Arabidopsis thaliana: one gene and its partners. Changing the gene in region 3 together with the main gene of any one other region gives a genetic interaction. Each region holds a gene or a part of one and is shown on either strand. Other genes may lie near its edges.

Region 1 (10,851 bases), on a different chromosome or scaffold from region 3:
AAAGAGCTTTGTGATGATTGAGAAACTAAAGAAGTGAATAAGTTTTTGAGATTCTGAGAGAAAACACCAGTTGGGTCTGGAGATTTCTGATTTGCACAACCTTTAAAGATCAGATTTTTATAATCATCATCACCGGAGATTGCAAAGAATGGTAAAAAGAACCAGAAGATGAAGAATTGATAGGTGAGTTTCATAATTGAGAAAGACAGAGAGAGATTTTTGTTTCTTGATGTTCAAAATCTTTTTACTAGTTTGTTTCTGTCTAATAAAGTTTGTGTTGTTTTTATGTGTCCGGAAAAAAGAAAGTTTTCCGTTTTTTTTTTGTCTTTTGTTTTGAGGTTTAAAGACAAAAAAATGTAAATAAGAGCAGGTTTTGTAGTATGAAACCATGAAAAATAAAGGAGTATACTTTTCTTTGGATCTTGCTTCAAGGGTAAGATAAAAAAGAAAGAAACTTTGAGACGACAAGTGTTTATTATATAGATTTGGTTTAGGAGATTATGTAATACAGTATCAAAAAAAAATGATTACTGTTTCTTCTTTTTTGTTGTTGAATTTAGTGAATAACCTTTAATGCCATTAAATCTGACTTTATTGTCTGAATTTGGATTTTGTTTTAGGACATTGATGGAAAAACACCTTTTGTGTATATGTATTTTTTGTTTAAGGCACTAAGATATATTTTGATGAGTTTGATTTAAATTGTAGGCTGATACGAGAAGGAAAATAAAATCTTAGACCTTGTTGTAAATGTGAATGATTGATTCGATTTTATTTTGTGTCCAAAACAAAACAAAACATGATCGTTTTGAGTTTACATAATTTCAGAACATAATTGCGTAGTAACTGGAGTAAATAATAATAAACCTGTGTGTTTTTGTAAACTACAAAAGATATTATCACTATGATTATTTTGAGTTAATGATAAGCATGATTGTTTTTGCAGGATTTTGGATTTCACATTCTATATGATATATTTTGAGTTGGTGAGTGTGGAAGATTTGTCAACAACCCTTGATCTCACAAGAACCAAATTGCCTTTGTGTGTTTGGATTATAGCTCTCTTGGAACCTTTGTTGATGTATTTTACCTATGCTTTTGCTTACCTTTTATGGTATTGGGGAATGCCTATCTTTGTTGTATGTTAAAACTTTGTGATCTTAGAATCCTTCTACCTTTGTACTTGTTTTCTCTTGTAGATGAATGAAAACAAGCATTTGCCCAAAAAAAAAAAAAAAAGATTGCTCGGAGAAGTAGAGGTGTTCCCCAATGTTTCAAAATCATTAAGAGTTAAAGACTACAAAAGGAAAGAACTAATACTGTATACTGTAAAAGATATGTGAAACTCTTAATTAAGTATAGATTCCCTATACAATATTAGTGAATAATTTTTATAAAATAAGGTTACCAGAACTGCCTGCATTGGATTTAAATACCGGAGAATTTGAGACATACATAGTTACATACACATGATAGTAGTAAGATCAAAAACAAATCTTAAGAGGTCAATAAGATTCGCTTATTTATTGAGTTTGACCCGACCCAATTAAGCCCGGCCCATTAAGCAGAGAAGAAGAAGAAAGAGAGAGGGTCAACAAAAAGTCACAGTCGAACAAGATACTGAGAAAGAAACGAAATTTCACCTGGCACTGTCCTCGCGTGTACTCTCACGCGCCGACGTAATACTCTGCCGTCGTCACCGACATTGTCTCTACGCCGTTGTCATTTGCTTATTACGGCCAAGATTCTTCACTAAGTAAGTCAAAATCGTGGAATCCTTTCTCTGTACCGAGCTCGCTTTAAACCCTAACCCTCTCGTCTCTGTACTTAGTAAGTTCTTCTAATTTCCGACGAAAGTCTTCTCCTTTTTGAGTCTCATCGTCATCTGAAAACGCTATTAGCTCTCTGGAAGAGAAAAAACAACGTTTTGTTAGAGTTTCTTTGTGCGATTGTGTTTTCTTAAGAGGAAAGGTTTCAACTTTCTTAGGATATTCAATTTCTGAGTCTTTTCTGCTACTTGTGGTTAGTCTTTGCTGCTAGGTAGATGTCTGTAGTCTTGGTTTGTTGTTGATTTGCTTTAGGTCTGTCTTTGCTTATTGTTGTAATGTTTTGAGTTCTGGCCACATTTATTTCCTTACTGAACGGCTCTTCACATCTTGTTTCTTCCGCATTTTGATAGGACGAGGCAAATGAGAAGTTACAACTTGTTTCACGAAAGCAATCCCACAATCAGTTTTAGTTTTGTTGGTGCAGAAACGATGGCACCTAATCTGCATATCAAGAAAGCATTTATGGCTATGAGGGCTATGGGAATAGAGGATGCGCGAGTGAAGCCGGTCTTGAAAAACCTTCTCGCCCTTTACGAGAAAAACTGGGAGTTAATTGCTGAAGACAATTACAGGGTTCTTGCTGATGCTATCTTCGATAGCCATGAAGATCAGGTATCTTTCTTTGTTCTCTCTTTGATCTACTGTTTTTTTTTTTGTAAATCTGTTGTAATCATTGTCTTTGTTATTACCTTGACATTCCATATTGATTTACTTATATAAAGGCTATTCAAGAAAGCGAAGAAAAGAAGGCAGACGAAGTTAAAGAGGATGAAGGCTGTGTATGTTTTTTCCAAACAATCTTCCATTTATTAGTTCAATGTTGCTTTATTATCCATGCTTCACTTTGTTGTTGATCCAATCTTTCAGGCCGCAGAAGTTGACAGAGGAAAGAAAAAGCTCCATGAAGTATGGCAAACTGAATATCTTTGCTGTGTTAGAGTAATGTGTCTTCATGTTCTTGTTTATTCAGTTTCTGTTGTGTAATATCAGTCTATCGAGGATGACGAAGATGTTATGGCTGAGTCTGATCGCCCTTTAAAGAGGCTGCGACGCAGAGGTGAAGGAGGCTCTGCTTTGGCAAGCCCTAGCTTGGGCAGTCCGACTTTAGAGGGACCTTCAATTAATGACGAAGAAAATGCTCCGATCCTATTGCCATATCATCCTGTACCAATTGAAAATGACCATGATGCTGGTGAGCTCATTCTTACAAAAGTCGAGCCCATTACAAATATGCCTCTCAGTTCTATTCCTGGTACTTTTTTGTAAATAGGAGTAACTAAATCTTATTTGCATTGCTCATTTTGTTGTTATGATTGTTGAAGCTACTTTCTCCAAAACTAATGTGTCTTGTACGTTTTCTGTAGATTCAGTAGATAGAGGGGACTCTTCCATGCTTGAGATAGACAAATCAAATGGACATGTGGAAGAGAAGGCTGGTGAAACAGTAAGTACTGCTGATGGTACTACCAATGACATTTCTCCTACAACTGTTGCGAGATTTAGTGATCACAAGCTAGCTGCAACCATAGAAGAACCTCCAGCACTTGAATTAGCTTCTTCTGCTTCAGGCGAGGTGAAGATTAATCTTAGTTTTGCTCCTGCAACTGGAGGATCAAATCCCCATTTACCTTCTATGGAGGAACTACGAAGAGCAATGGAGGAGAAGTGTCTCCGATCATACAAAATACTGGACCCCAACTTTTCTGTGCTTGGTTTTATGAACGACATCTGTAGCTGCTACCTGGACCTGGCAACAAACGGGAGAGATTCAGCTAACCAATTGCCAAAAAACTTGCCGTTTGTCACAACGAACATTGATGCATTGAAGAAATCTGCAGCAAGGATGGCTTATACTTCTCAGGCCAGTAATGATGTTGTTGAAATCTGCAGCAACGAACATATGCGTGATGCTGAAAACGGTGCAGTTGGTGATTCCATGGCTTTGGTAGTTGTTCCTGAATGCCAACTTTCTGCAGATGAGTGGAGATTGATAAGCAGCGTCGGGGACATCAGTCTAGGGAAAGAAACTGTTGAGATTCCCTGGGTGAATGAGGTCAACGACAAAGTTCCTCCAGTTTTCCATTACATAGCCCAAAGTCTTGTGTATCAAGATGCTGCAGTGAAGTTTTCGCTTGGGAATATCAGGGATGACCAATGCTGCTCCTCTTGCTGTGGAGATTGCTTGGCTCCGTCAATGGCATGCAGATGTGCAACTGCTTTTAATGGCTTTGCATACACAGTAGATGGCCTCCTACAGGAAGATTTTCTGGAACAGTGTATCTCTGAGGCCCGTGATCCGCGGAAACAAATGTTACTGTATTGCAAAGAATGTCCTTTAGAGAAAGCCAAAAAAGAAGTAATCCTGGAACCGTGCAAAGGGCATCTAAAGAGAAAGGCCATTAAAGAATGTTGGAGCAAGTGTGGCTGCATGAAGAATTGTGGCAACCGAGTTGTCCAACAGGGCATTCACAACAAGCTGCAGGTACATTCAACTTACCAACCTTTTTAGCCAAGTAGTCCAGGATTTGATAATCTAAACCCATCTCAGTTCTGATAGAATTGAAACTGATTATGATCATTTTAACTTGGACTTAACCAGTGGAGAGATTCTGATGCCTGAATTTTGTTTATGTTCCTTTTTTTTTTTTTTTTTGAATCAGGTGTTTTTCACGCCCAATGGGAGAGGCTGGGGACTCAGAACTCTAGAAAAACTGCCTAAAGGAGCATTTGTCTGTGAGCTTGCTGGAGAGATATTGACCATTCCAGAGTTGTTCCAACGCATCTCTGACAGGCCTACTTCTCCAGTAATATTGGATGCGTACTGGGGTTCTGAAGACATTTCAGGGGATGACAAAGCACTTTCTCTTGAAGGAACGCACTATGGAAATATTTCCAGGTTCATCAATCACAGGTAAAGGGACACTGAAAATGAGTTTGTTATAAAGTTTCATATGACTAGCCTAGATTTAGAACTCATTTGGGAAACTTATATAGTTGGTTTCACTCTCAATTCATTACTTCTAACTGTACTATGTCTATATGTGCAGATGCTTAGATGCAAATTTGATTGAGATCCCAGTTCATGCGGAGACTACTGATTCACACTACTATCATGTATGACACAGTTCCTTGTTTCATTTCTAATCATTTGCTTATAGAAGACTCATCTGTTATGTGGAAACAATAGACCGATTAGCTAATCTGTATTTTTTTCCAGCTTGCATTCTTCACAACAAGAGAGATCGATGCTATGGAGGAACTTACCTGGGTGTGTTAGAAGTTTCTCCACCCACTCTTAACAGATTTGTTTCTTTTAGAAATTTTCACTAGTTCGGGTTCAAGTCCTGTTTTCTTTGTGGTTCTGTTTGAGAAGTTTTGGACTTGACCTGCAGGATTATGGTGTCCCATTCAACCAAGATGTGTTTCCCACGAGTCCGTTCCATTGTCAATGTGGTAGCGACTTCTGCCGAGTCAGGAAGCAGATTAGCAGTGAGTAATCATCACACGATTTCTATTTGATAATCCTTTTCCTATATTTGACTGTTATCTCGGTTTTGAAACATGAGCCCTTCACTATTTTGCAACTAACACGCAATTTGTTGATGCTGCAGAAGGCAAGAATGTGAAGAAGCGAGCATGAGAGAGAGCTTTACATTGGTAGGTTTTGAAGATATGTGGTGGGCGCAAACTCCTTTTTGTTGTGAATGAATTGGCAAAAAAATTCCAATCGAAAAACGCTTTTTGTAAAAAATTCCGACAATGCATATAAGCAAAGTCGCGGTCCATAAAATAGGTAGGTAGCTATCAGGATGAAACTATAATCCTTAGAAACTGATTCACTTTTGTGATATCAAAAACTCGTGTGAATATCTTAATTTTGGTTCTAACGGCTATGGCTTTTGGTTATGACTTATATTGAAAGATCTCTCTATTTATATAAATCGTAGTATCGAAGTGAAGTCTTGAAAGTGATTTCACCTTAAGAAGAACTCCCATGAGAATCACTTGTGGAAGGCTTCTCTCTCTCTATATATATGAGGAATGATAATAGTACAAGATCAAAGCTTATTACATTGTATGATACTTTTGAGTGCTGTTGGATAATCCTATCATTGAGTTATGTACAGTTTTCTACGCTTAAACCGAAAGCTGTGCTTCAATGGCTTTACCTACCAAGTCTCGGTTATGAGGTCTCCAGAGAGAATCTTGATCGCCAGATGAAGAAATGGCCGGTTGAATTCCACTAGCGTTTAGCGGAAACAGCGTCTTGTAGTAGCCATCCATTATAGCCGAAATATCACAAGTAGCCGCAACACCAGGAATCTGTTTCAACAACAACAACAAACACATAATTTGAAACACACTCCCAGATGCAGAATTTATGTCTCAGAGAGAAGCCAGTAAGAAGAGGAACCTGGTAAATCTCGCGCAAATAGCCATAGAGATTTGGGTATTCAACAAGCTTCTTCTTGGTGCATTTGAATAGAATGTTGTAAACCGAATCAAAACGAATCAGAGTTGTGAACAGACATACATCAGCCAATGTCAACCTTTCTCCACACAAGTATCTATTACTACCCAAGTGATCCTCAATCTCATCTAAGGTACTAAAGAGTTCATTCACTGCTCCATCATACGCTTCTTGGCTCTGCGCAAACCCGCACCTTTCAAAAATCACCACACATGACACAACAAACAAAGCCATCAACTTTAGCAACAAACACACATTGCAGCATCAAGAACACAAGCTACGCAAAAACCGCATCAAATGTGAACAATTCAGTTGCTTTCTATAGCTTTTAATACTAAAGAGTTCATTTTACAGCTCCATCATACACTTCTTGGCTCTGCGCAAACCCACACCTTTCAAAAAATATCGCAAGCAAATTACCACACAACAAAGTCATCAACTTTAGCATCAAACACACATTGCAGCATTAAGAACACAAGCTATGAGCTAAACCCGCATCAAATTTGGAACAATTCACTCCATTCCTATAGCTTTTTTGATATCCCGCTTACTTGTAAACGCCATTGTAACATTCTATAAACATTGTAATGATGTTTTCCAATTTACCTGTAAACGCCATTGTTAACTTTAGGATACACAATCTGATTCCAACCTTGTATCATCTCTTTCAACTCTGGTGGCGAGAGATCCAAGTTATCATTTCGGGCCAATTTGTTTAAACCTGAATTGAAGAACTCGATAATATCATAGCTTTCGTTACAAACAACATCTTTCTTCCTTAAATCCCACAGCATTGGAACAGTACACCTCCCATCGTAACCTCCACTTCTAGATTTGTACACTTCCTTAAGATTCCGGCACCGGTTTGCTTTATCCAAACTCGGGATAAGTTTATCCTTATCCTTGATTGGGATATTATTATTCTTGAATTCCCATGATCCATCTTGACCAGGTGATGCGATTGAGACCGGAACGGCGTCGTTTAAACCCTTGAGAGCACGGACAATTAGGGTTCGGTGAGCCCAAGGGCAAGGAAGACCAACGTAGAGGTGGAGCTCGGAGGAAGCAGCGGAAGTGAATTGGGTCGGGTCGAGACGAAATTTTGAAGTGGGTCGGGTGTATGACCCGGATGAATCGGATGGAGCGAGTTGGGTCATCATGAGCTGCCACACGGTTGTCCAAGCTGTTCGAGCGGTGGAGATAAGTAGACCTGGAGGAAGAGATGGTCCCCATAGTAGCTTTGTGGCGGAGGTGAAGATGCTTGTGGTGGTGCTCGTGCTTGGTTTTGGTGATTGGTGCGACATTCTAGGGCTGAAATGGCGTGGCGAGAAGGACGGGAAGGTTAATTGTGGCGCGAAGCAATTGGCCATGGCTGAATTTTTTTCCTTCGGCGAGAGAAGAGAGACGAAAGACGTAAAACGATATGTTTTGTATCCATTTGAAAGCAGGCCCAACTACGTTTATTCTAGGCCCAAGTGGATATAAGTGTTTCACTAATTAAAATGTTTCCAAACATTTTAATTATAAAATTATAAAATAGAGTGGATATAGAGTATATAGAGTGTTTCACTAATTTATAAATCAATGTTATGAATTATAATAGTTTTTCAGTTCTGTGAAATAAAATAAATTTTAAAAATAACATAAATTCTCATCTCACAAAATTCAAAAATTTATTATTAAAAAATGGTGAAAGCAGCTGAGGGGCTCTTACCATTGAAAATGCTCTTAGTTTACATGTGTTCTCTAATTCTCAGACTCTTGTTCACTGGCCTCTTTTAATGATGAAGAATCTACTGTTGAGCTTAGGAGAATTTTCTACGACATTACTCTTCTCCGGCTCCGGTTTATCTTGCTATCTTTTAATTATGTTTCTCGATATCTTTTAGCAAATAGTGCATTGTCTTCTTTAAATTCATCCTCTTTTGGAGTGTAATGGTTACTTTTATCAAAATAACTTGTTTGCCCAAATTTGTTTATATGAAATTTGGTTTAGATTCAGATTGTTGAATTTAAGACTTGTTTTGTGCCCACCCCAAAACAAAAAAAAAAACAATTATGAGGTTTCCCTATCCAAAAATTGTGTATTGAGTGGTAATTAGAAACACTGTGGGGACATATGTTAATGTTAGATGACTGAATTGATTGCTTCATTAATAATAAAATGACAGCAATTATTTTACTTTGATTTTAACATTTCATCTGCAAAACATAAAAATTTTAAAAATACTTTTTATGAATACATTCTCATTTTTCAATTTTCAGAAAATCTTAACTGGTCCGATATCTTTTTCTTCCACATCAATTATATTTATTATGTCATCTATGGGTTTACCAATTCATCAACATCATATATATCATCAACGAAAAACACAACGAGTTAATAGTGTTGCAAGAAAAAATGAAGACTACAAAGCTAAGATAAATTAGGCTCATACAAATGTTGTTTTCTATGACAAGTATTTGTATTTGGATCAAAAGTTAAAGCCTATGAATAGAAATATCAAGATCTTGCAATTTTGTATGCAAGAAAACACGAAACAAAAAAAATCATCTTTTCAGATTGAGAATTTAATTTACTACAAAATATGAAAAGAAAAGGCTCCATATATAGACAATAATAGCAACGTCTATGTAATTAAAATCACCGTCGGCGAGACCAACCGTCGTCGAAATTCAGATGATAGCTCCGGAGATCATAACTACACTGAATATTATTATGATCACTCTTCCGAGACCACCTTAAGCGCGATTTAAGCCTCCAAACAAACTGCTTCACGAGAACACGTGGTTTTCCACAACATGAGAACGCAAACGCCACAATCGTTCTTTCCTCGGTGTTTCCTAGCGTTGCTGAAGCCGTCGTCGAGCTTCCGATTCGCTTTCCCCATCTCCGGAACTGAAGTCTCTTCAAACTTTGTTTGTTCATAGCTTTTAGAGTTAGTTTACTCTGTGTGTGTGAGATTTGTGAGAGTGAGAAAATGTGTAAGAAGTAACAAAGAAGCAAAGAATGTGAGGAACATTTAAAGAGCTAAATTTGATAGAAAGTGAGAGATAGAGAGGGAGGCTATGGGATTTGCAACGTGTGGATTTATCATTCGTGGACTAAAAGTGTATAGTCAAAGAATAGTCGAAAGAGCATCACTCACCACCATATATCCATTTTTTTTGTTTGCCTAATATACAAATATGAAAAAGCTAAGTAATTAAACATTATAAAAGTAATTCAATCTATTTCATCTATTACCACTTTAGTGAACTACCTCGTGACGTATTTGCACATAAACTTCTATGTTTTAGTGGCTAAATGAAATCATTAATAGGCAAATCATGGTGTTTTAGCAAGATTTTAAACGACCCTTTTAACAAAAAAAAAAGATGGGTTTAAACGACCAACATAATGACATGAGTTAGTAGATAAATCATCAGTAGATTAACATATTTCAATACAAAAAGAAATATAGTAGAGTGATTCATGATTCATATGCCAAAGAATTATCCAAAGTGCGTCATTCATCACCATATATCCACTTCTTTTTTGTTTGTCTAATACACTAGTATGAAAAAGTTAATATTATAAAAAACAATTCAATCTATTTCATCATCTATTACCACTTAAATAAACTACCTCGTGACATATTTGCACATTAACTCTATGTTGTAGTGGCTAAATGAAATCATCTATAGGCAAAATCATGGCGTACATCTAGCAAGTTTATAAACGACCTACAAAAGGTTTTAAAAGAGCTACACTATGACATGACTTAAGATAGGACATCAATACATTACCAAATGGTTAATACAAAATATAGTAAAATGATACGTTTCATAGTTCATATGTCAAATTAACACTCCCATTTATTGAGATTTAGTCTTTATAATGAATGAATATAAATTTCTAATGAATGAATATAAATTTTCAAGATATGTTTGAAAATTTAGTTAGTGTCAGCTCCACATCACAAGCCTAATTTATGGGTCATAAACCCGTCCCAACTTTGGGTGGAGAATCAAATACAACTTTTATTAGAACCAATAAACCAACGGTGAAGCAAAAATCTCAACGACTAAATTAATCCCACTATTGGCGAAAAAATAATAAGAATTCCACTTTTGAAACCCCTTTATCAAAAAGCATTATCTGATGCAAACTCATTTTTTTCATCAGTTTTTTTTGTCTGAAATTCTTCGGAAACATTCGGTTAAAGTGAGATATGAGTGTCTACCAGTCTACACCGTCCATGGCATAAACGACGACGTTTTAGGATAGATCATGACATGGATTGATACAAAGCATATACCAAAATGACAAGATTATGCCTAAAAGGAAGACCCCACGCGTAATTGCTTTCTTGTTACATGACGTAAAAGTAAAGATACATGAGTCAAAACGACAACGATGTATAACAATTATAAACAAAGAGAATTCAATTTTAAACAACCAAAATAAAGCTAAGGAAATATCTCGAACTAGAAATCAATTCATTTCTGGATCTTTCTGTTACTCATCCATCATACCATTTATTGTATCTTTATCATCTAATCGCAAAC
Region 2 (12,322 bases), 1.4 Mb from region 3:
AGATACAAAAAACTCTAACGCTGATAAAGAGACTACACACTCATATAACCAAAACTCAGTACAATCACATGATGAGCTGATATATGCATTCTTGATATATGAACATGAACAAAATGGTTGCATGGGCAACAGCTATTTTTTAGATTGTTAACAACATTGTGTCAGTACTATGAACTTTGTTTCAAAGAAATGATTTGCGACTTGATGAAGAAATATAAAAACACATAGATCCCAGAAAAGGATACTAGGGTTGATTCAAAAAACTCAATTTCTCATTGAACCTCGTATACAGATAACACAAATCTCAACCACCACCTTTTACCTTATTCCCCTTATATCGTACAATTATTATTACTCAAACAAGAATTTGAGAACTAAAGCACGGATTATAACAACAAAACAGTGGGCATGAAAACTGGGTGTTCACCTCGAGGATGTTGTTGCAAATGGCGGTTACGACGGCTTTAGCAGCATGAACATTCTCTCCAGCAATTATTGTAAGGTTCGTTATTATCGGCTTCGAGTTGAAAGTGAGCTCAGCCAGTGCAGACTTGTACTGATTCACAAGCTCATAATGTGGATGAACCGGCTGTGGCTGGTAAGCCTCTCGGCTCGGATCACTGACAATACTACTCTCAGTTTCTCTACCACTAACTCGAAACCTTGACGAAGCAGGTGGCACTGTCACCGCCGTAGCCGTACCAAGCGTTCTCTGCGACAAAAACTGCCGCGCGTTGGAATTAACAGGCCGGATTGATTCCTCGCTGAGCCTGGGTTTCTTCATCGGACCTGGATCTCTGGATCTATCAAACGGTCTACGAGGATTCTCCATTCCAAAGAACTATACAATACAAGAGGTACGCAAATAATGCCCTAAATTAAACCTAATCGGCAAAAATCGATTGCAGTGACAACAAATCCTCGTTAGAGGGGAATTCAGAGCATTACAACAATCAGTAACCCTAAGTTACAATCTAAAAATTGAGATGCATAACGCGATTCTGCGAAGAAGACGGAGAAGATAGAAGGAATGCTTCGAATTCGGCAAAAATGTCAGAGAGTTTGGACAATCTCCGATCAATTAGGGTTGTGAATTGGGGATTTTATGGAGACGAGACAAAAAAAAGTTGAAGATCGGAGCTGGTTCCAAAAATATTTAGGCCCATTTAATGACCCACATTCCATGTATAATAGGCCCATCATCTAATATTTGACAACAATAGAATTCTTTGGTCCGGTTGAACTATCTGATTTAAACCAAGTTAAGTGAGATCCTCCACATATCGAACCAGATCTTGATTCAGGTAACCAAAAGCTAACCGTAAATTCAGATATAAACCAAACGAAGGGAACAGAGAGTTTACACAGCTACGGGTCTGTTTTTTGTGACAAGTGTTTGATACAAATTTAAGACGAAACTAAAATGGGATTTAGAAACCTTGTACAACTCTAGGACTGTTAACTTTACGTTTTCACTTTCTTACATTAACTAGATTGGAACAGTGTGCTCTCTCACTCTTAACCATAAGCTTGTATTTGTTTGCTTGCCAACGGATTAGGCGAGGTTAGCTTGTTGTCCCTTCAGTTTGCTCGCCGGGAAGTGCAATCTTGCAATCAAAGGCTTCGGTCCCCTCGTCTTTCGATCAAATCCACGTACACATACGTACCCTACATAATATCAAAAGATAAGTTATGTTTCAGAACAAGAAGAAACTGCTTAATACAAAATGTACCTTTCCAAAAGCAAGCCTGTATCTTCTCAGTTGATAAACCTGAGAAAAATAGAGCTCAAGTGGTTAGAACAACTTTCTTTTATATAAACAATCGCATCACAATCCAATAAAGAAAATCTTATACCTTTGAATATCGTAGGAACAGAGGTACCAAAATAGACCGTTCTTCGAGGTAATTCCCATATCAATTCCCTTGGGACATTGATTGGGTTTAGGCTGGATGCATGATCCGCAAACACCTGTATCAATAGAATACATCACAAGTTTCAATGCAAATAATTAAAATGAAAGAGTTGGAGTTATTGGAGTTCAAGTCTTACCTCATTTACTTGAAAGTACGTTCCATTTAGAGGAAAACTACCCCTCATCGCTGTTCTACAAGGAATCTGTACAATTTACAACATATTAATCTGTAGAAAACATAAGTGTAGTAAGCCGCATAAGGAGATTGATGCAACTACTTACCAAAATTGTCCCTCTCACAATTTGAGATCTAGTCTCCTTGATGCTGTTGCAGGAGAAACAAGTCTCCTCGTCACAAAGCATACCATTTGCTTGGAATATGCACGTACTAACAGACGGTTGAATAGAATCAGCCGTCTCACCTGTTGAATAACACATCGATTAAAGATACCGATTTGATTTCATGATTAAAAGATATGCAAATCATTAAATTACCTGGCGTCCATATAGCAAGCAAATAAGAACATGGATCATCAGGTTCTCTCTTTTCCAACTGCCACAAGAAATCACAAACAGCTAGTCAGATTTTACAATATAGACAGCACTCTATACGGCATGTGTCCTTATCCAGTTAGCTCACATACCTGAGCTAGAAGAGGATGCTCGTCTGGAAGTTCGTAACTGCAAGATACGGGAAAAGAAACAAGTTATGGCATAGCCTGTAATTATTGGGAAGTTTGTCTGCTTTCCAACTTACGAGTTCATGCTTGGTCAATCACTTAAATATTCTACTCTGTTCAAGCTTTAATAATTTTGAAAAATGTGTTTCTGATTTCATTTTTAACCTAAGAACGAAGAAAAACAGAGAAAAATGGATTCTTACACTCGGTGTTCTGTCCTTAACTGGCTGATATTCTTGAGCTTAGGCATTGGAAGAGAAGCAGTTTCAGCAGTAAGTGCAACTAAAGCGCTGGACATGTTTCCGTCTTGAAGTTCCTTGTTGTGTTCCATTATCTTCTTCAAGTTACTGGTAAATGCATCCATGTTTAGCCTGATGGTAGGAATTTCTTCTGGATCCTCAAAAAACGCCTCCTCTATGTCAGCTATTGATACTTCTGCGGTTTCTGGCTCCGGTGAAGCAGGCTCTTCGATGATTGGTTCACAACATGTGACCTTTTTTGCTGGTTCTGAGTGCTGTACTACTTCAGACCCTTGCTCTCTCTGGAATGGCTCTGGCAGGTGTAGAGGCAAAGGGTTTTTATCAGGTGTCCCCATACCTTTCTCTGTACTTGGTAAAGCAAGCCTTGCACTGTAAAACAAATGAATGTTACTAAATTTTCTGTAATGATGATTCAGAGCTTCGTTTAGATACAGACCAATTCTCATTTAACTGGGTTATATTTTAACAAGGACTTTCCTCATAGAGTCATAGTGGTACTAAAGGTTTAAGAGAACATGTTGTAGCACCTTGCAAACGCACTGGCAAAATGTCTGCATTCTCCTTTCATCGGACATGCATTGCAATTAGGTTTGCTCTTTGTGCAAAAGACCTGATACAATAATCAAGCAGATTACAAACCTCATCATGTGAGCTGATTTTGACATACGTATATATGTATTTCTTTAATACATACCTTTCCAAAAGTAATCATCTGGTAGTGCAACTCATACCTGTGAGATAATAGGGTATTAAACTAATGAATAAGTGTATTAGACTGAGGCATGAAAAAAAAAAAGTTAGTGATAAACATCATTCTTACAATGTTTTTTGGTCGAGTTTGCAGAGACGGGGCCAAAGATACTTTTGAATAGATTCAAGCATAGGATACCTAGACAAACCAAACCTCAGATGTATTAAGTAACAAATTACAATTTCCAAGTAGGACCATTTTGAAAAGTGCTTACATTTCCAGAAGATGCAACTGAAGTGACTCTGGGAGCGGCTGAAGGGGCACCCATCCAAGTCTGACGGCTATGCGCCCAACATTTGTATCAACCTGTCAATAAATTAAGTTCATGCATCATATAATTCACTTTTTATAGGGACAGAAACAAAAGTTTGATCCTTGCTTACTGGAAAGGCAAGATGGTGAAGTGTTAGAAGCCGCACACACTCCACACTTTTCAGTCCCAATCCGTTAAAGCTCAGAAGATATTCTCTGCAGGGTTTTGTAATATACGAGAGTACATAATTCATTATTAAGTCACTAAAACTGCCAAAGTAGTAATCTTTGTATAGGTTAATAAAGAAGAAATAAAATGCTTCGTCTTTCAAACTTACTTTGCTTTATCTGGTGGAACATCTCTCAACCATTCAAGATCGATACTTCCATGGTCATTTACCAGTCGATCAAGGAAGCCCTGCATGATTTTCATGTTCAGAGTCAAATACTTAAAATGAATGTTATCACGAAATTTAGCCACTAAATTTTTACCTGTATACGTTCTGCAAGTTTATGGTTCATCCCGCGACTCTTGATTGTTTCAGCAACTTCCTTAACATCTGCTGCTCGTATTGCCTTCCAATCCACGGTGTCCATTGTACTTCTTGTTTTTTCTCTAATTCCTGCTCTAGCTTGGGCTTCTCTTCTTAAACAATCCCAGTCAAACGCTTTTTTTTCCTCCTTCAAAACCTTTTTCCCTTTTTCTTTTAAGGTAGGTTTCTGACAACTCAAAACATCCCCATCTTGCTGAGAGCAACAACCAGGTTCACTACTATCAACAGAGGATTTTGTGGGCTCTTTCATTGACTGGAAACCCTTAATTTCTGAGCTACAATCACCCGGAGACATATTTGGTGATACTTGATTGGAATCTTCTAGAGAGACTTGTACCCCCTGTAGGAGCTTCATAAAGGAAGTACGATACTCTCCTTCTAAGTCGATCTCTGAGCTTGATCCTGCTCTCTCTGTATTTTGAGGAGCATCAGACACCATCGAATGTTGACATGTAAGTGCAGAATCTTCAGATGGAAACAGGTTCAGGACACGACACTTCTCATCCGTCTTATCAACCTCTACACTTGAGCCTTTTCGATCTGAATCAACATACTCCTTTGAATCCGTGGTTTTGTCAACTGATTCATGGGCTGAGATGGCAATCTCACTACTGCTTCTGGAGGTTTCATTGCTAGGTACATAATCCTTCTCCTCATCAGGCTGTGTATTTTTCAAAGTAACAGAACTGTGATTGTGATCGGGTGGGCTTGACATCGTTTCCTCTGAGTCCAAGTACGTTATTTGAATAGAAGGCATCGAGCTTGTTCCAGCGTCAAAGTTACTGCTCGGTACAAAAGGGACAGGGAACTGGGAAGCCAACGACATGAAAGCCGAACTACAAGGAGTAAAAAACATCAAAGCAAGTTAGTTTTGTGACTTTTTGCTGTCTTGGATTTAGTTTGACATAGAATTATGTAAGAGCTTGTACCTTGAGAGATGGTCTGAAACATTTTGAGTGAGAAATACTCCAACAACAGAATCCACGACGGATCCCTTCCAAGGCGTAAAACGTCGATCCCCTGTTAGAAACCAAAGACCATAACAAGAAGCAGTAGCTGAGACATACTAATTGAAACCATGTGGTTAGAACAGAAACACATAAAAGGACAAGTGTGGTGTATAACCTTGTACAAGGTGCATCCTTGCAATAAATGAGTCAGCTCGTCCTCGAAACACATTACGTTCTTCCTCCCACCATTTCGCCTTCTGCTCGTCTGATCCGTCAACACCTTCGCTATTAATATTCTCCAATAGCAGTTTCCACACTCTGTCTGTCTCATCGTCTAGATCAACCTTTGGTCGTGGGCGTGGTTTTTTAACAGGAGTTACAGGCACAATTGCTCCAGCGCCACCACCAAAGAGTACAATCTGGCTATTCATTGTGTAAGGAACGAGAGCAGTTTCAGAATGCTCCCTGTTGATGTCTAATAGACGCAATAGCTCACTGATTGTTTCGATCGAGTTACGTCGTTTCCAAAGTTCATCTGGAGAAAGACCTGCAGGAATCAAACATCATCATTATCAAGAAATAGTCTGCATTTAACAGATTCAAAAAAACAAAGAAATATAGTTCTGTATCTATTCATTACCAGTAAATGAAGGTGGAAAACGGCAAAGATTCGGAAGAAGATTTTTCTGTTTGGTTTGTGATTTCTCAGACTTGGTTGGCTTCTTTTTGCTCACAGTCACCCGCGTATCAACAAGAATCTTATTATTTTGCTGTGGCTTGCTACAATATCCTGAGGTTAAATGCTCAGGAACTTCCACAAGTTTATTCATTGAAGACAAATTCCGGAATCGAGCATGGCCTGTTGTTTTCTTCTTGATCGGCGTGTCTATCTTATCCGAGAGAACATTTAGCTCAGACTCTTGCCTTCCTTGAAAGATACCTTCTCGTCTTTCTTCAACGGTTAGGACTCTATTAGCACTGAGCTGAGATGTGGAACTGTAGCACGTAGCGTGAAAGGCAGAAACATAATTGTGCTGTTGTCCAGAGAATACTTTGCTGCAAATGGCATCATATCTCATCCCTCCCTGTTGCAAGTTTGGGGAATACAACCAATGCATTTTCTGGTAGTCACATTGCTCATCATACTGAATCCCTGATAGATTCATGTCGCAACAAGTTGGTCCTTGTCTTCTCTTTGCAGCTTGCGCCATCGAAATATCGACTTCTTCTAGATTACTGCCATTTTTCTTTGGTTGAACTCCCTTTCTTTTACCTTGGCTGCGCTTTCTCTTGGGCGTGCTAGGAGCCGAAAGAAGGCAATCTTTTAACTCTTGATTCCCAGAATCTAACTGCTTCTCTTGAAGAGCTGATTCCATCTCACCTGCTTCTCTAATGTCACCGTTGGTCTGGTTTTCTCCATTTTCGGCTTCAAAATCCAAGACTCGTCTACAGAGCCTCTTAGGACGAGTTGAAGTTTCAACAGCTGCTGATGATTCAACCGGAGTAGCGTCTTGATCCTTACTGACTTCAACCTTCTTCCGCACATATTTCCTCTTTGGTGTTTTGCTTTCTTGACCATCGGTGACAACAGACTTCCTCGGAGCTCGTGGTTTAGGCTCCCTCTTGGGTTTAGCTTCTCTACGAACCTTTGGCCGATGCTTCTTCCTCTTAGGTTTTTCAGGAGTCTTGAGGATCTGTTCAGCAACATTGTTACTCACTGAGCTCAAACTCTCCACTTCTTCAGTACCTTTTTGCATAACCTCTGTGTTTCCTACATTGAGAATCACATCTTTCTCAGTCCAACTCAAACAGAATCAAAATTTGACAAAGCGATTTCATTTCTCATGAGACCAGAATCAAAATCCCCTCTTACTTGTAGGTATTGGAGTCTGACCAGAGAATATGAGGGATGCAGTGTTAGCTAGAGCAAGCAAATCCCCAAAAGACAAGTGATCAAGACCACTCATATCCTTGTTCCCAACAAATCTCCTGCATGCATCAATACCTTACTTAACCAATTACCCATCACTACTCTTTGAAATTTCTCAACTTTAGAACAAAAAAGCACAAACCTTTCCTCCAATTGACTGCTATGATATTGATCCTCCACCGTGTATGGGCAGATCGGTGAAAATGGCTTCATGGGTGTCTGAGGAATCCATGGAGGTTGTTGAAAGCTGCTTTCTTCTCTCCTCTGTTTCTCCATTTCTGACTCTATTTTTACTTTTCTTCACTCTTACTTAAATCAGAACCATTTGAGAAAAAGCTTGGAACTTTCTATTTTTTCCACTGCAAAAAGTTCAATAATTTCTTCAATAAAAGAGATCACCAATTTTTTTTAAAAATCACGATTTTATAAAATGATCAGATCCACTTTTTTCTGGGGTTTTAGAGAAAGAGAGATCTCCGGAAGTCATTGATTTTGGGTGAGTGGCGACATGAACGATTAATCCGTTCGTTAGGTGAAAGAGAGACTTTTTAGATTCACAACAAAATGTAAAAAAAAGTAAGAAAAAAACAAAATTCATTACCAGTAGAATCAATGGTTATGGTGGTGATGGAGAGAGTTAGTTCGGTGGTAGCTATGAGAGGATAAGATCACTGATGCTTCGTTTCTTCTCTTGGAATCGATGAAGTTAAAGAGTAATATAGAAAAAGCTTTTTTGGCCTAACGTATAAAGAAGAGGATATAACATGTGTTGTTGTGTGTTTCACTATTTTTCATAACCGTTTGTTTATGTAGGGCGAAAGTTCGTTTGGTTGGCGGGAAAAGTTTTACGGAATTTTATTTTAAAAATAATGATTCTTTTCTACAAAATCTCCTAGACTATGGGAAAGATGATTTAAAAAGTTAATAATATTGTCGTTGTTATCGTCATCGTCATCATCGTCTTTTCTGTTATCTTTTTCTCTTTAAAATTTCGTATTTTTTCTCGTTTACGTAACTATTTAAAATTATATGAACTAACTAATTTTATAATTAATAGAAATTATAAAATAATCTTAATTTTGCTTTAGATATAAAATAATTAGAACTTTATTTATAAATTTATCATCAAATTATGATTTAAACAAATAACATGTTATGTAATCCACGTTTATAATTTTGATCAATAATATATTATTTTGCTAATTTTTACGTAATCTCATAAATTTACACGTTTTCGTTTACATATGCAGAAGTTAAATGATTCGTTTTAGAATTATTATTTTCCACTGATATGGGAGCTAGTGTAGTAGAGTGATTATTAGGCTAGTTGCCCAACGAGTCTTTCGTTTTTGATCATTCCAAATGTTTTAGTCTAGTACGATAGGAGTCAAAATACTGCACCATATGTGTGAAACTGTGAATGTGTGTGAAAAAAAGAGTAATTAGTGTGCTAACCTTTGATTTCCTGTCATGCAAGAAACCTTCAAAGAGACGTACATGAGAAATGAGTATTGTAAATCATTTATTTCATGGACTTGGTTGGAATCTTAGTGAATCGTTGTTGTCAATCTTAACAACTTGTTGGATTGGTTATGAGCCTATGACTTATGACTTATGAGTGAGTCAATGGTGGTCATAACCTAATGATTGGGTTATGAGCAAAGAAATTTGGAATTTGTAAAAAAAAAAAAAAAAATCAAGAGCTTTTTTGTGTGGACATATCTATCCTAGAAACTGAGACGAATAATAGTGGATAAAAAGTTGGGAACGGATTATTCGAATGTTTAAAACTATTATTGAAAACAATACAACTAAATATGGTACAAAAGTAAACGAATTCGTATAGCTAAACCTAATTCAAATTACGAAGCTAATCCATACTTGGATCCTAAACGCTTTTACTTTTACTTACGGTTTCTTTTTCAAAAAAGTTTTTACAAATTTGGGTTTGTCTTATGAAGATTATGGCAGAAGAGACTGATCAAAAGTGAATGCCTAATTCGGTTTAATCCATTCAAGTTTATCTTAAACAATGAAACTGACCATGAAAGTGAATTCAAAGACCAAATCAAAGAAAAATTAAACTGATTTAGTTGTAATATTGGTATTGAATTAAACTATAAATAGAAATAACCAAACATATAACCACAAAAGAAGACTATTTATATAAATATATGAGTTGGAAGTCATTTTTGGACTATTATATAAGATCTAATTATCACACGACGTGTGGATGTATGGTTAGCAGAGTTGTGTTCAGAGAGTTCGATAAAGCCATCACTCCAAACATACAAAATATCCATACATTGATCCACCAATATAACCGGCTGTGTGCCAAGCAAAGTGAAGCTTAGGCCTAACTAGGGTTCTCAAAAGTTCAAAATATAAAAAATATTTTGGCGTCGACCTTAAAGTCCTTGCTTCATCGACTATAGTCTAAAGCCGGCATGCCTAAAAACCTCATATAAATCGTCGCTTGTTACTCGATCATACTCTGTAACTATAAATATCCTGATCTTAATTATAACTTGAAATACTACTAATCTACGAATCTATCATGTAACCTGTTTACTAGTTTTTATTTAATATAATCAAGGAGATAGGTCACTTGAAAACAAAGACGCCACGCTTGTATCTCAATCCATACTTCTATTTTTTGTCTTATGATATGGTATCATTCACGTAGTTTATATATTAAAAAAAAAAAAATATCATTCCCATAGTTCTTAGTTCTTTGTTTTATTCATAATTTTATAATATTGGCCTTCCCAAAAATTTGGGTAAGGTCTTGGACATTACAAAGATCCAACATATACAAAAATAAATAATCAAAAAAATCTTTGTATGACTGGAGATAATGATCGGATCTTGCTGAAGACCGGAAACAGAGAATCAGAGCAATAGTACCAGCGGATACAAGACCCACGACTTCGCTGATTTGTTTTCTCATAACATGTTTGTGATTATTTTCTGATTTAAGCGTCGAAAGATTTTTTTATCCCATAAGGTCAATCCTCTCAAGCGGTGGCAGGAGATTCCCGTTTCACGCACTGTGTGAGACGTGTGAATGACATAGCTCTCGCTTACCATCCACGTCTCATGTATCAGATTCATTCAACTCTTTTACTCATTCACCATGCATGAAAAGTATAAATTACATTGAATTTTAGCAAAGCACTTAATTCTTATCTTATTATAATCCTATTTTACATGCACACGTTATAATGTTATGATATTATAATACATTTTGTATCGACATGATATTATCCATATAAACAATGGTGAAACTTAACTCAAAGAGACAAATACCATATTGTGATTTCATGCAAACTGAGATAGTGCCAAGTGGAAGCCAAGTGCCATCTTTCGATCTTAAACATGTCACATAGAAGAAGACTACAATAACCCACTTAATAAGTATAAACTTTATTTATTAATGCATGACTTTTTCAACTGTTCCTTTCCCCATGCAATATTGATCTATCTTTTGGATCATTGTTTATAAAAGTTCACTTAGAACATTCATTCTAGAAAGTATATAAGTCGATTCTTTTGATGAACAAACTCCAACGAGAAAGGTTCTTTATATATACTCCTAATAATGGTGATAACGTAGAATATACATATTGTTTACGCCAATTCGCCAAACAATTCACTCCTTAAAATGACCTCTGATAAATAAAATCGACTAATATAAACCTTATCTACTAATGACACCAACTAATAACACCCATTTAGGGTAATCCTCATTTATTAAACATAGCTTACTACCTAACAACAATAACAGAATTATTGTTCTATTAATCTTCTTTTTTAATTTTGGGTTGAGTGATAGAAACCAACCACCAGACACGTTGTTAAGGAGGATGATGATAACGATTTTTAAAAAAATAAAACAGAAAATAGAAAAAAACTCAAAAGGAGAAAAAAAGAACAGATAGCGAAAGAAAAGTCTTATTTCTGGAATCAAATCCTTGTGAGTTTTCTTAAGATCAAAACATATAAATTTGTGATTTTGATTATTGGGTTTTGCTCATAGAAGACGAAACAGAAAGAAACATTCGTAAACAACACCAATACACCAACCCATACAATCTAAATTACATTAACATCAGAGAAAGTTTCAAACTTTTCCAAATCTTCAACGCCATTGAAATAGCATCTCACAGGTTAGATTCTTTCATTTAGATATGAATCAGATTTCTGAAAATTTGTTGGATTCGTGAATTCTCATTGTCTTCATGTCCATTATCGATACCCTGAATTTGTCTGAATCTCCAATATCTAAGATAAGTAATGTATGTCCTTATCTTACTGAATTTGCATGTTCTGTTTTTTTGTTTGATCTGTTTTGTTGTTTGATTATCTCTTTTCTGAAGATGTAAAGAGATTATGGATCAAATGATTGTTCTTCTTGTGTTTGCTTAAGAAGTATATGTGGTTTTGTAGATTGATGAGTCATTAAAGACCGTCAATATGACGACTACTCCAACTTCATCTGGGAGAAGAAGCATTTCAAGTATAAGGAGAACATCATCAGCTTCTAAGAAACCTGTTCTTCAATCAGAAGAGAGCGAAAGCGGAAGCGGAAGCATTAACGAGAACACCTCCAAACCTGATTCACCTCTTGCTCAACCGGTTTCTGATGGCGAGAGAACAGTCAAGAAGCTACGGTTATCCAAAGCTCTCACTATTAATGAGGGAACCACTGTCTTTGATGCTTGTCGAAGGATGGCTGCTAGGCGTGTTGATGCGGTTTTGTTAACTGATTCAAGCGCTCTTCTTTCCGGTATTGTTACAGACAAAGATATAGCCACGAGGGTGATTGCAGAAGGGTTGAGACCAGAGCATACTCTGGTGTCTAAAGTCATGACAAGGAATCCCATTTTTGTCACATCTGATTCACTTGCCATTGAGGCTCTTCAGAAGATGGTTCAGGGAAAGTTCAGGCACTTGCCTGTTGTAGAGAATGGTGAAGTCATTGCTTTGTTGGATATCACAAAGTGTCTCTATGATGCTATCTCACGGA
Region 3 (9,300 bases):
ATCGATCACAACTTGGAGGAAAATTCAATCAGACTAGTTGAGAAAATATTTTGGTTCATTAAACTTCTGGCAAAAAACAAAATTTCGTAAGCCATGTAACTACAAAATTTTGAAAGGAAGACTCTATCAGATACACTGCTCCCCCATCAAAGAAGAAATCGAAGTGTAGGGAAACAAGCGAAATATACAAAAATGAAAAGTTTTATTCAAATACCTTTGATCACTATTTCCAGCAGAACTGGGTAAACTGTATTGCAAAGAACATCAAGAGTTCGTTCTAGATCGGGATCGGTGGCATTGTAGGAGAACGTCAAACAAGGCATATCCGAACCTTTGCTCCCACAAGGATCTCGGAAAGAGCAGCACTCACTGTTCATTGGAGAATAAATCAATCATAATCAGGTAGAAACCAAAGCTAGACATTATGCTATGAAGAACAAAAATGATGGAAAGAAGATAACTGGAAAACTAGAAATCAACATCAGACTTGCTTTCTGGACAAATTATGCATAACATTCAACCAGAGACGACATCCAGAGGAAAAGCAAATCATTGTACAAACCTGACAGACAAACTTGTTCTCTTGAAATCATCAGTAGCTTTCTTCTTTTTCTTTTGTCCTAGTGAGTTAATTACATCCTCACACTTTTGATGTATATCCTGCATACTGATGTTCCAATCTTGCAGCAATGTCTAGTAAACCAAAAACACCAATTACACAGCAAGAAAAGGATAATAGGAAAGTGTTTCTATGACAGGTAGAGGCTTCCAGAAAGATTCAACAGTAAAGGAACCAGATTCAAACCTTATTAAGATGAATATGGCCATGTAGGCATGAATCAATTCCAAAAATTTCTGATATAGTTGGTTGCTTTCTATATCTTCATGCAAGTAAAGAGAAAGCAGATTGCAAAGAGGTTTAGTAAAACCATAAAAAAAAAATAACACAAACACTAAAAAGAGCGACTGAAGTTACTAAAACCCAATTCTTACTCGACTAGGAATTCCACTGCAGTATCTTTAAGACTAACTTTATTCAGCTTGTTCCTGACTGTGCAAGCAGCATTTTCCTGGCAAAACCTTTTTCCACAATGGCATTCGTTTAAATAAAGGATTACGCGCCGATCATTAGTAGTGTTTTGGAAATTGACTTTGCAGAGCAGAACTTCCTGGGAAAAGAACAAATACAGAAAACAATTACACAACAATACAGATGAACAAAGCTGTATTCAGAAGGCAGATTTGATATTGCTATACCTTCATTAGCTCCCATGATGAATTACTATTTGGAGAGGAATCAAGCACTGCCTTATATGCAGGATTTGACATGGCAGTAGCTGCCAATACTCCAACAGGTTCTCCAGCTTCAAACAGACCTTGATGTCCACGTTCAGAATCAACTCCATATTTGAACTGGATGACTGAGTTACTACAGGTGTTTCTTACAGTTCCATCGTTTGTAATCACGATATCCCGAAGAACAGCCATCAGGTTCTTAAAGAGGGTTCCAGGCTCAGCTAATCCCCTTGAAGAGCGAACAATTACCTCCCTAGCTGCAATTGAATGAGCCATCTCTTCATACGGATCCAGCCCATGAAAGAAGCAGCCCTTCACTATTCCAAAATCACCAGATGAAGAAATCCTGCCATACTTTCTCTTACAAAAGATAGCCATGTCCTCTACCAGAGTCTTCGTGTAAAACTTCTTCTTGTCAGAAAGCTGAAGACCCAAGAAGCCTGTCTGCTGCACCAGCTTGGTGATTGCTGAGTTACTCTTGATATCAATCAAGTTCCGAATGGAATATGACTTCAGCATAAAGTTAGCAGCCACTTCCTTCACTTTGTGGATGCTGTTCTCTAGCTGCAATTCATCTCTATATGATAATCTCAAGCGAGACACCATAGGTGAAATCTCTCGGATTATTAGGTTGTGAATTACATCCATGTCTGCCCTAGACATGGATAAGTCTTCCAAACTTAGACTAAATCCCTCAGCAAACAGACTTTCCATCAATAGAGGCTGCAGCGAATCAAAGAATCCAAGTGTCTCCTTTGGACCCTTCTCCAGGAAGATTGAAGTTACAATTTCATTGATGATGGACCCCATCGCGTCAACCCCGAAATCAAACTTCAGCAAATCACTTCCATCAACCAGGAATCTGTCTCCTTTGCAACTCAGACGTTCTGGAAAGGCAAGCTGTAGAATCTGGAAAACTGTCCAAGCTGGGCCAGATTTACTGGACTTCCTTAGTGCTGGTGGTGGCAGGGACAGAGAGCCATACATAGCTAACTGTTGAGCAGTTGCCTTGTCCAGAAATACCCGCTCCAGCATTACCCTCAAAGACAGTAAAGAATCACTACCCATCTGCAAAATCAGCTGTCCAGTATGTGAGCTAAGCAGTTGCTTCTCCACAGAGAAGAGCTCCATAACCTCTGCCTTAGCACTAAGAGACTGAGGGTAGAACAAATGGACACAATCACCATCAAAATCAGCACTGAGGGGGCTACACATCAGAGGGTTAATCTTCACGGTGTTGTCTTCATGAACATACACCCGAAGCGCTTGAAGAGAATGTTTATGTGTTGTCGGGGGTCTGTTGATAAACACAACATCCCCATCCATGACCCTGCGATGAACAACCTGCCCGGGTTTAAGCTCAGTGTGCCCCTTGGATCCATCCCTTAAAGAATAGGTCGTAGAACCTTGAGTATAACTCAAACACAACTTGTCGTCTACCAACTTTTGTAGATAACCTCTATTGTGGACACTAACCCTTTCCTCAAATGTGATTCTCTGCGCAATTTCTATTGGGATCCCTACCTCATTCACATGTCGGTAAGCATCTCCAGTGATGACGCTACGGGAAGAGAAACCTGAACCCTTACGGATGAAAAGTGTTCTCATTTTTTCTGTCCAAGCTTTTGAAGATGAACTATCCGAGATCTTAGACACCCCGTATCTCATATCAATGTTTCTTGCCGCTTTTGCAGTACCCCTCACCTGGAGATAGGTATCCACCACTCTAAACATCTCACTGGCTTCAGCCTTATGCGACTCAAAGTTTGTCTCGCCAGACCTAGAGCTTTTTATGGCTATGACTTTCTTCAGAACGTCCTTTAGCTCAATTCTGGAAGGATCCTGAAAATAAGAATGACACAAATCCAGGGGTTACAACACAAGCCAAAGCATTCAACTCAACATAGTAATTTAGTTTCAACTTACCACTGACATGGTGCTGAAACCATCAGAAGCCTCTGGCACTGACAAACAGTTAGGCGGGACAGGAAGATACTCTAGTATGTATCCTTCTTGAGGAATATGTCCCTTTGCCGTGAGTTTCTTTCTTGATTCTTCGGGGATCCGTCTTAGAATTTCCTTAACCTATTTGTTTTCCCACCATATGGAAAAGGACACGGAAAGTACATAATCATCAGTTTCCAGAAAGAAAAGATCTTAAAGATAGAGAATGATTCCAAATGAACAAAAAGAACGTCACCATAAAATCCTACATAAACAGAAACATAAACACACAGAAGAAAGTAAAAACCTCTCTTGCCAGCAGGGGACGCGTGTAATCGCTTCCATAGCGATAACCATATCTTTCCAGGAAATTCCAGCAACCAGGCTGCAGTCTTGACCTAGATGGGAGCTTCAGTTCTAGATATGAGGCACCATCTGATGCTCTATCTTTGATTGAGATTTGCGAAGCTTCCTAATAAAGTAATATAGTAGTTAAAAATCCAAGACGTTCAGCAATAATAACATCCAAAATAACATAAAGCAGTGAATGTTTCATGATGCCACGAAAATACCAATAGCTACTGCTTCACAAGCATTGATTAATGTTACTTTCACTGAATGGATCAAAAGAAGCACAAATACTATTTAGATTTGAATTAGCAAGTTTTCTAACATGCAACTAGTTGAAGGAAAACTTAGAAAAACTAACTAAATGCTGAACCAGGTTCACATAAGAAACATCTATCAACTTGCTTTCAGGTAAAACTTAAAAGGAAACAATCAGAATGTATATGCCATTACTCACCTCACAACAGACACCCAACAAGCGATCCGCCAGACCACCACTTGTGCCCTGTACTCAGAAAGGTGAAAAAGATTAGTCGAGATTTTATATGGTTTATTTATGTGTGGATCACATGGAATTTAAGAAAACTCAATGAGGTAATACCTTTGCCTTCTTTATCTTCAGACATTTCAAGCACAGAAGGCTCAGCATTTGTTTCAACTCATTAACATGAGCAGGATGGTATATTGGCACTGGAAGCTGAATATAACCAAAATGACCTGAAAATGTAGAAACAAATACCGATATCTGAAGAAGTATTCCAACAAATGATGTAAGAACAAAAATATAGCAACTACGGAACTGGATTACCTTCACATTTATCTGGTTCTGTCGCACCGCAAGATTCACATTTACCAAATTCAAGAGGTAACCCCAAGAATGCGTTAGTGAGTTGACTGGGATGATTAATTGCGGATTCACTAATCGATTGAATACACTGCAAGAAAGAATTACAGTCCAGTGAGAAATGGAATAGTGACAGAGGATATATCGCAGAACAACATTTATATGCAAAAGTGTAGCACTTAGCATCACACAGAGCTTGAGTACAATTATAGTGAATTTAGTGCCAAAGATAACCAAAACATAGAGGTTTTAGCTATTCGAAATCCTTCAGTTATGTAAAACCCATGATAAACATTGATGCAGAACAAGATGGATCAATTCCAGAGAGTATAACTCTTATAACTTACTATTTCATGGTGACTAGCAAGAGCAAATGTGATTCCAACAATCTCTCCGTCAAGAATCTCTGATGTAGATTCTTCCTCCATGAAAAAACCCTAACGAGCGAAAATCACACACCAGCGAGACCGAGTTAGCTCTTATCAGATGTAAACAAACAGAGAAACAAAGACATTTGAGCTCACTAACTTGATACAAAGAAAAATCAAGTCTTTGAAGAACAAGTTCTCAAATCTGTAAAAGATACAATTTTTATACTCGTTTACACAAAATCGAAGCTGTAGTAACACACAGTGAACCAAAAAATCCGAACTTTCAAACCTAGAGTAACCTACATTTGAAACCCATTTCGGAGAAACCCCCCCCCCCCCAAAAAAAAACACGGCGGAGTCATGATCGAGCTCTTTTCCCGGAAAAACATCTAAAGATAAGAGTTGGGTAAGACGAAAATACCTAAGAATTCGATGATTCAGCTGCGTATTTGACCCGTTTTGGTTCCTCAACCGGAGAAGAAACGAAACAGCGGGAAACAAGGGTTTTTGCAGGTGAGAAGAGGGAAGAAATCTGAGTGAGAGTGAAAATGGCGGACTTTTTCTTAAAAGAGGAAACCGAGAAAGAAGATTGCGAGAGAACAATTTTGGAGTGACTCTACTTTTCTCTCTCAAAAATCTTTTGTTCTTCTTCACTCTTCAGCTTCCGTCTTTAAAACCCACATTGCATGCAAAGGGAGAAATATTTTCAGTTTCGTTATTAATTAACTAAAATAAAAAGGTATCAATTTTAATTTTTCTTTATTTGTCAAACAATTGATAACACTTGGGAATATGCAATGATGATGAAAATGATTAAAACAAATATTTATCCACATATTATGCAAGACCATGTCAACAACCATTGACAAACTTTTTTTTTTTTTGAGAAGAATAAAGGATTTCAAAACCATAGAATTAGCAGTGAAGCAAAACATATAAATACTTCAAGTAAACTATTTTTTGGATTCGATTTTGGTGTTGTATATTTGATCGATCGCCATAGATGACCGTTTCCGTTTGTAGTACGCTATGTTTGATGCGATAAAAATCTAGCGGGAACGATGTTTTATAAAATAATGGTTATACCAAAAAAACGGTAAGAACTAAGTGGATCGACTTGTAAAAAAAAATTTGAGATATTTTTTGTATTCATGAATTTGTAAATAGTTCATACCAAAAAAATGAATATGTAAACAGTTGACCAATCAATTAAAGACAAAAAAACAGCTCTTTTGTCTTCAAAAATTATATATAAAATGTTAAAGTATTTTTTCATTTTATTTTGTTATATATTTGATCGATCACCATAAATGAACTTTTCAATTATATATTGATGCGATATGAATATGAAAGGAACAATGTTTTCAAGAGATAAACTTCGTTTTTATCCGAAAGAACGGTAACCAATGCTCATATCAATTTATAATGAAAACATGGAGAAGGTTAACAATAACTCTTTTTCTTCATTTATATAATTTTGTTTACACATAAATGAAGAACATGAGTATAAATTTAGGAAAATATTTTGTAAATAAAAAGTAAAGGGTAACTCCAAAATGAAGTGACAGATGATATCATACCATATTCATCACTCCCTTTTAGAGTTGAGAATATAGTGGTATTAAAAGGATTTTTTCTAAATTAGTATTTAGAGTGAAATTTGGAATATAATTGGAGATGCACTTATTGGCTCATGGATTTAAAAAGGGAACAAAATTGCATCAATTTCTTTCTATTCAGGAGGAATTAAGTGGAAAAAAATTTCATTCCATTTATTGTAAAAGTTAGCAAAAGTTGTAACCAAACGAAATACAATATGCTTCCTCTCTCAAACTTTTCCGCTGATGTGTAAAATACAAGTCAAGCTATACTTGCATTTAAGTTTATATGTACAAAAAAAAGTTTATATGTACAAATCAAAAATCAAAAGAATATGAAGTACCGGTTGATATTGGTTCTTGCATTTAGAAGGTATAATTGCAATTAAACCGACTTTCAGATTTGGTCTAACTTTTAGACTGGCTATTCAATTTACTTTAGAGGGATTTGGTTTCCACTTTCGACATTGATCTTTGGATAAGTGGGTTCGGGTACTATTGTATGACTCATACAACTACTGATAAAGACTATCTGCTTTCTCTACTCCATCACAAATTATTAAAAACCAATATCTCAAGAGATGTTAAGATGGGTCGTTTTACCTTTTTTCACCACAATACTATAGCTTACTACTACTATTTGGCTTCCTAACATATATATCAATTTGCTACTTACAGGAGCTCCATAGCTCCTTTACTTGTCCCACCTCATCTCTTTCTTCCTCCTCTTCTGTCCACGTACTTCCCTGAGAAGCTCTTGAAGTTCTTCACAAAGAGGTTCTGGAGTAAGCTGAATGATCTCATCATCATCACCATCACTATCCTCCTCTGGCTCCGTCTCCTTCTCCTTTGGATCCTCTGGCTCGGTCTCCTTCTCCTCTGGATCCGTTTCCTCCTCAGGATCCGTCTCCTCCTCATCAATTAGCCATCCACAATGAAGATTCTCCACACCTAATCAATTATTTTGACCGCAGTAAAAGAATGTTTCATTTCTTATGTTGAGATTGGTATGGATATGAGTAAAAAAGCTTTTATTACCTCGAACAGAACTTTGTGCATAATCTGATGATGCTTCTCCCAAATGAATAGCTGCTGGTGATGGGTCATTGACTGCTTCGCTATTGATTGATAACTCATCAGCTTGGTCTCTTCCATACTCAATATGCATGTCCTGCTCCTGCTCCTGTATTACAAAAGATGGATCATGCTGCAAGTTACATACCATTTGGGTAAACCAAGTTCAAGAATTCTGTCAATGGTTTCTAATAATGCCAGCAAAACGAATCCCAACAATGGAAGCAACAGATTTGTGAACCTGCACAGAAAGAGAACGAGAAGGAAGAAAAACAAATCACCTTCTCTTCTTCGTGTATTTCCACAGCCAATTGATTGGGTTGTTCTTCCTCAGCCATCTCTTCATTGTGATTCTCAGGCAATTGGTTGGCTTGTACTTCAGCCAATTGTTTCTCTTTTTCCTCTTGCTTTTCAAGGCAGATAGCAAGGAGGGGACCATAGCTATCATCTTCAATCAAAAACCATTGGTCTTCGTAGACCTGAAATCCAAAGTGGGTAAAACGTTATTTTCAAGTTGCAAGGAAAATGTTATCAACAACGGAAAAATGGAGACCCTAAAACTAGCGAACAAACCTCTAACAGTTCCTTAATACTCTCACTGATAACATGCTCATGAAACCCAAATCCTCTCATGCGATCTCGTGCTGCATCCTCTCGCATCAATCCAGCCTTCTGCAAAAAAGCAAAAGAAAAGTAGCAATTTAAAAGCATAGAAAAGAGAGATAATCATAGAAGGAAAAAAACAAGAACACCCATCATAAAAAGAAGTATTTGTAAACTTATCTCATCAGTGTTCTCAACGTTGAGTACACAGAAGTCGTAGAGAGAAACAAAATGTTAACTTCAACAATCATGTCATTCAAATACTTCATCTATATAGTCATTCTACTCTAATGTCTATGTCTATGCTTTTATCTTAGTTTTCCACTATACTCTCTAAAAACTATATGATTCAAAAGCTCATATCTTTACTTGTTAGCCAGCATTTTAATTTGGAAAAACAAAACAAAAAAAACAGTACAGCTTATACCTTTCTTCTTCCTCTGGGAGCCATTTGTTGATCCCTCACAATTCCCTGTAGTTTCAGAAGAAATTGGAGGACCAAAAGTATAAGTCTTTGGGTTATAATCAAACAAACAAACAAAGGCAACCAAACAAGTGATCCCTTTTTTCAAACCTATGTAACAACAAAATCAACGAAAGATGAAACAAAACAAAAGTTGAGCTCTTTCCCAAAAATCCCGAATCAGTAACACTAGAGATAAACCAAAAATACCCTAAAATTCAAACCCAAATGAAACCTAAACAGAATCACAACAAAACACAAAAACACGAACTTAATTTTGCTACAGAGATGACAATGTGCTGAGCTGTTTCGTTCAGATTCGATAGGGAAAGAGAGTACTTACGGCGGAGAAGATAAAATCGGCGGCGACTGTGGAAGGTTTCTTAAGAATAAGCCGTGGATCGCCTCCTCGTCTCCCAAAAATGCTTCTTTGAATGAAATCGAATTAAAAAAATAATATAGTATTTGTTTGGGTCAACCATTTTCTCTGTTAAGTCAACCATTTTCTTATTGGTTACTATAAAAAATAATAAAGTATGAATTACAATGAATGGATCTCAGTTGGGCTTGAGATGTGGGTCGAAAGAGCTTTTAGCCCAATAGGAAAAAGATTCATAATGTTAAACATGTTGGGCAATATTGGCCCATCCCATTGATACTACTACAAATAATATAAGCCGTTAGATTTAGGTCATCCCACAAACCCTGACCGTTCATCCTTCCGTCTTCCGATAACTATATAAACCCAAGAAACTTCTT

The links.
Region 1: of NRPD1B (region 3) and SUVR2, changing one enhances a phenotype caused by changing the other (phenotypic enhancement), as found in Arabidopsis thaliana (one study listed by BioGRID).
Region 2: of NRPD1B (region 3) and DML1, changing one suppresses a phenotype caused by changing the other (phenotypic suppression), as found in Arabidopsis thaliana (one study listed by BioGRID).

What each region holds. Positions count from the first base shown.
Region 1 is NC_003076.8:17,696,265-17,707,115, forward strand, and holds SUVR2 (SET-domain containing protein lysine methyltransferase family protein), read left to right. Parts: upstream 1-1,577; 5' UTR 1,578-1,830; intron 1,831-2,179; 5' UTR 2,180-2,189; coding exon 2,190-2,441; intron 2,442-2,551; coding exon 2,552-2,608; exon of another isoform or gene 2,609-2,663; coding exon of another isoform or gene 2,664-2,696; coding exon 2,697-2,735; intron 2,736-2,819; coding exon 2,820-3,081; intron 3,082-3,193; coding exon 3,194-4,311; intron 4,312-4,489; coding exon 4,490-4,740; intron 4,741-4,876; coding exon 4,877-4,943; intron 4,944-5,046; coding exon 5,047-5,097; intron 5,098-5,221; coding exon 5,222-5,318; intron 5,319-5,440; coding exon 5,441-5,469; 3' UTR 5,470-5,772; downstream 5,773-10,851. Other genes in the region: PDLP1 (plasmodesmata-located protein 1), read right to left, coding at 1-194; AT5G44000 (Glutathione S-transferase family protein), read right to left, coding at 5,967-6,152, 6,244-6,493, 6,907-7,670; AT5G44005 (uncharacterized protein), read right to left, coding at 8,945-9,229. UniProt on the Arabidopsis thaliana protein: Probable inactive histone-lysine methyltransferase that acts as regulator of transctiptional gene silencing independently of histone H3K9 methylation.
Region 2 is NC_003071.7:15,306,704-15,319,025, forward strand, and holds DML1 (demeter-like 1), read right to left. Parts: upstream 8,105-12,322; 5' UTR 7,895-8,104; intron 7,653-7,894; 5' UTR 7,570-7,652; coding exon 7,436-7,569; intron 7,353-7,435; coding exon 7,237-7,352; intron 7,135-7,236; coding exon 6,004-7,134; intron 5,911-6,003; coding exon 5,539-5,910; intron 5,434-5,538; coding exon 5,343-5,433; intron 5,250-5,342; coding exon 4,352-5,249; intron 4,278-4,351; coding exon 4,198-4,277; intron 4,076-4,197; coding exon 3,991-4,075; intron 3,914-3,990; coding exon 3,822-3,913; intron 3,746-3,821; coding exon 3,677-3,745; intron 3,588-3,676; coding exon 3,551-3,587; intron 3,467-3,550; coding exon 3,384-3,466; intron 3,226-3,383; coding exon 2,800-3,225; intron 2,598-2,799; coding exon 2,561-2,597; intron 2,470-2,560; coding exon 2,412-2,469; intron 2,339-2,411; coding exon 2,199-2,338; intron 2,120-2,198; coding exon 2,054-2,119; intron 1,973-2,053; coding exon 1,858-1,972; intron 1,773-1,857; and 5 more. Other genes in the region: AT2G36480 (pre-mRNA cleavage complex 2 Pcf11-like protein), read right to left, coding at 428-832; AT2G36500 (CBS / octicosapeptide/Phox/Bemp1 (PB1) domains-containing protein), read left to right, coding at 11,770-12,322. UniProt on the Arabidopsis thaliana protein: Bifunctional DNA glycosylase/lyase, which excises 5-methylcytosine (5-meC) and 5-hydroxymethylcytosine (5-hmeC), leaving an apyrimidinic (AP) site that is subsequently incised by the lyase activity.
Region 3 is NC_003071.7:16,710,649-16,719,948, reverse strand, and holds the start of NRPD1B (nuclear RNA polymerase D1B), read right to left. Parts: upstream 5,490-9,300; 5' UTR 5,225-5,489; intron 4,870-5,224; 5' UTR 4,861-4,869; coding exon 4,780-4,860; intron 4,524-4,779; coding exon 4,397-4,523; intron 4,306-4,396; coding exon 4,190-4,305; intron 4,094-4,189; coding exon 4,046-4,093; intron 3,713-4,045; coding exon 3,548-3,712; intron 3,382-3,547; coding exon 3,223-3,381; intron 3,139-3,222; coding exon 1,258-3,138; intron 1,170-1,257; coding exon 994-1,169; intron 882-993; coding exon 806-881; intron 694-805; coding exon 563-693; intron 370-562; coding exon 215-369; intron 1-214. Other genes in the region: AT2G40020 (Nucleolar histone methyltransferase-related protein), read right to left, coding at 7,096-7,352, 7,440-7,584, 7,757-7,954, 8,049-8,186. UniProt on the Arabidopsis thaliana protein: DNA-dependent RNA polymerase catalyzes the transcription of DNA into RNA using the four ribonucleoside triphosphates as substrates.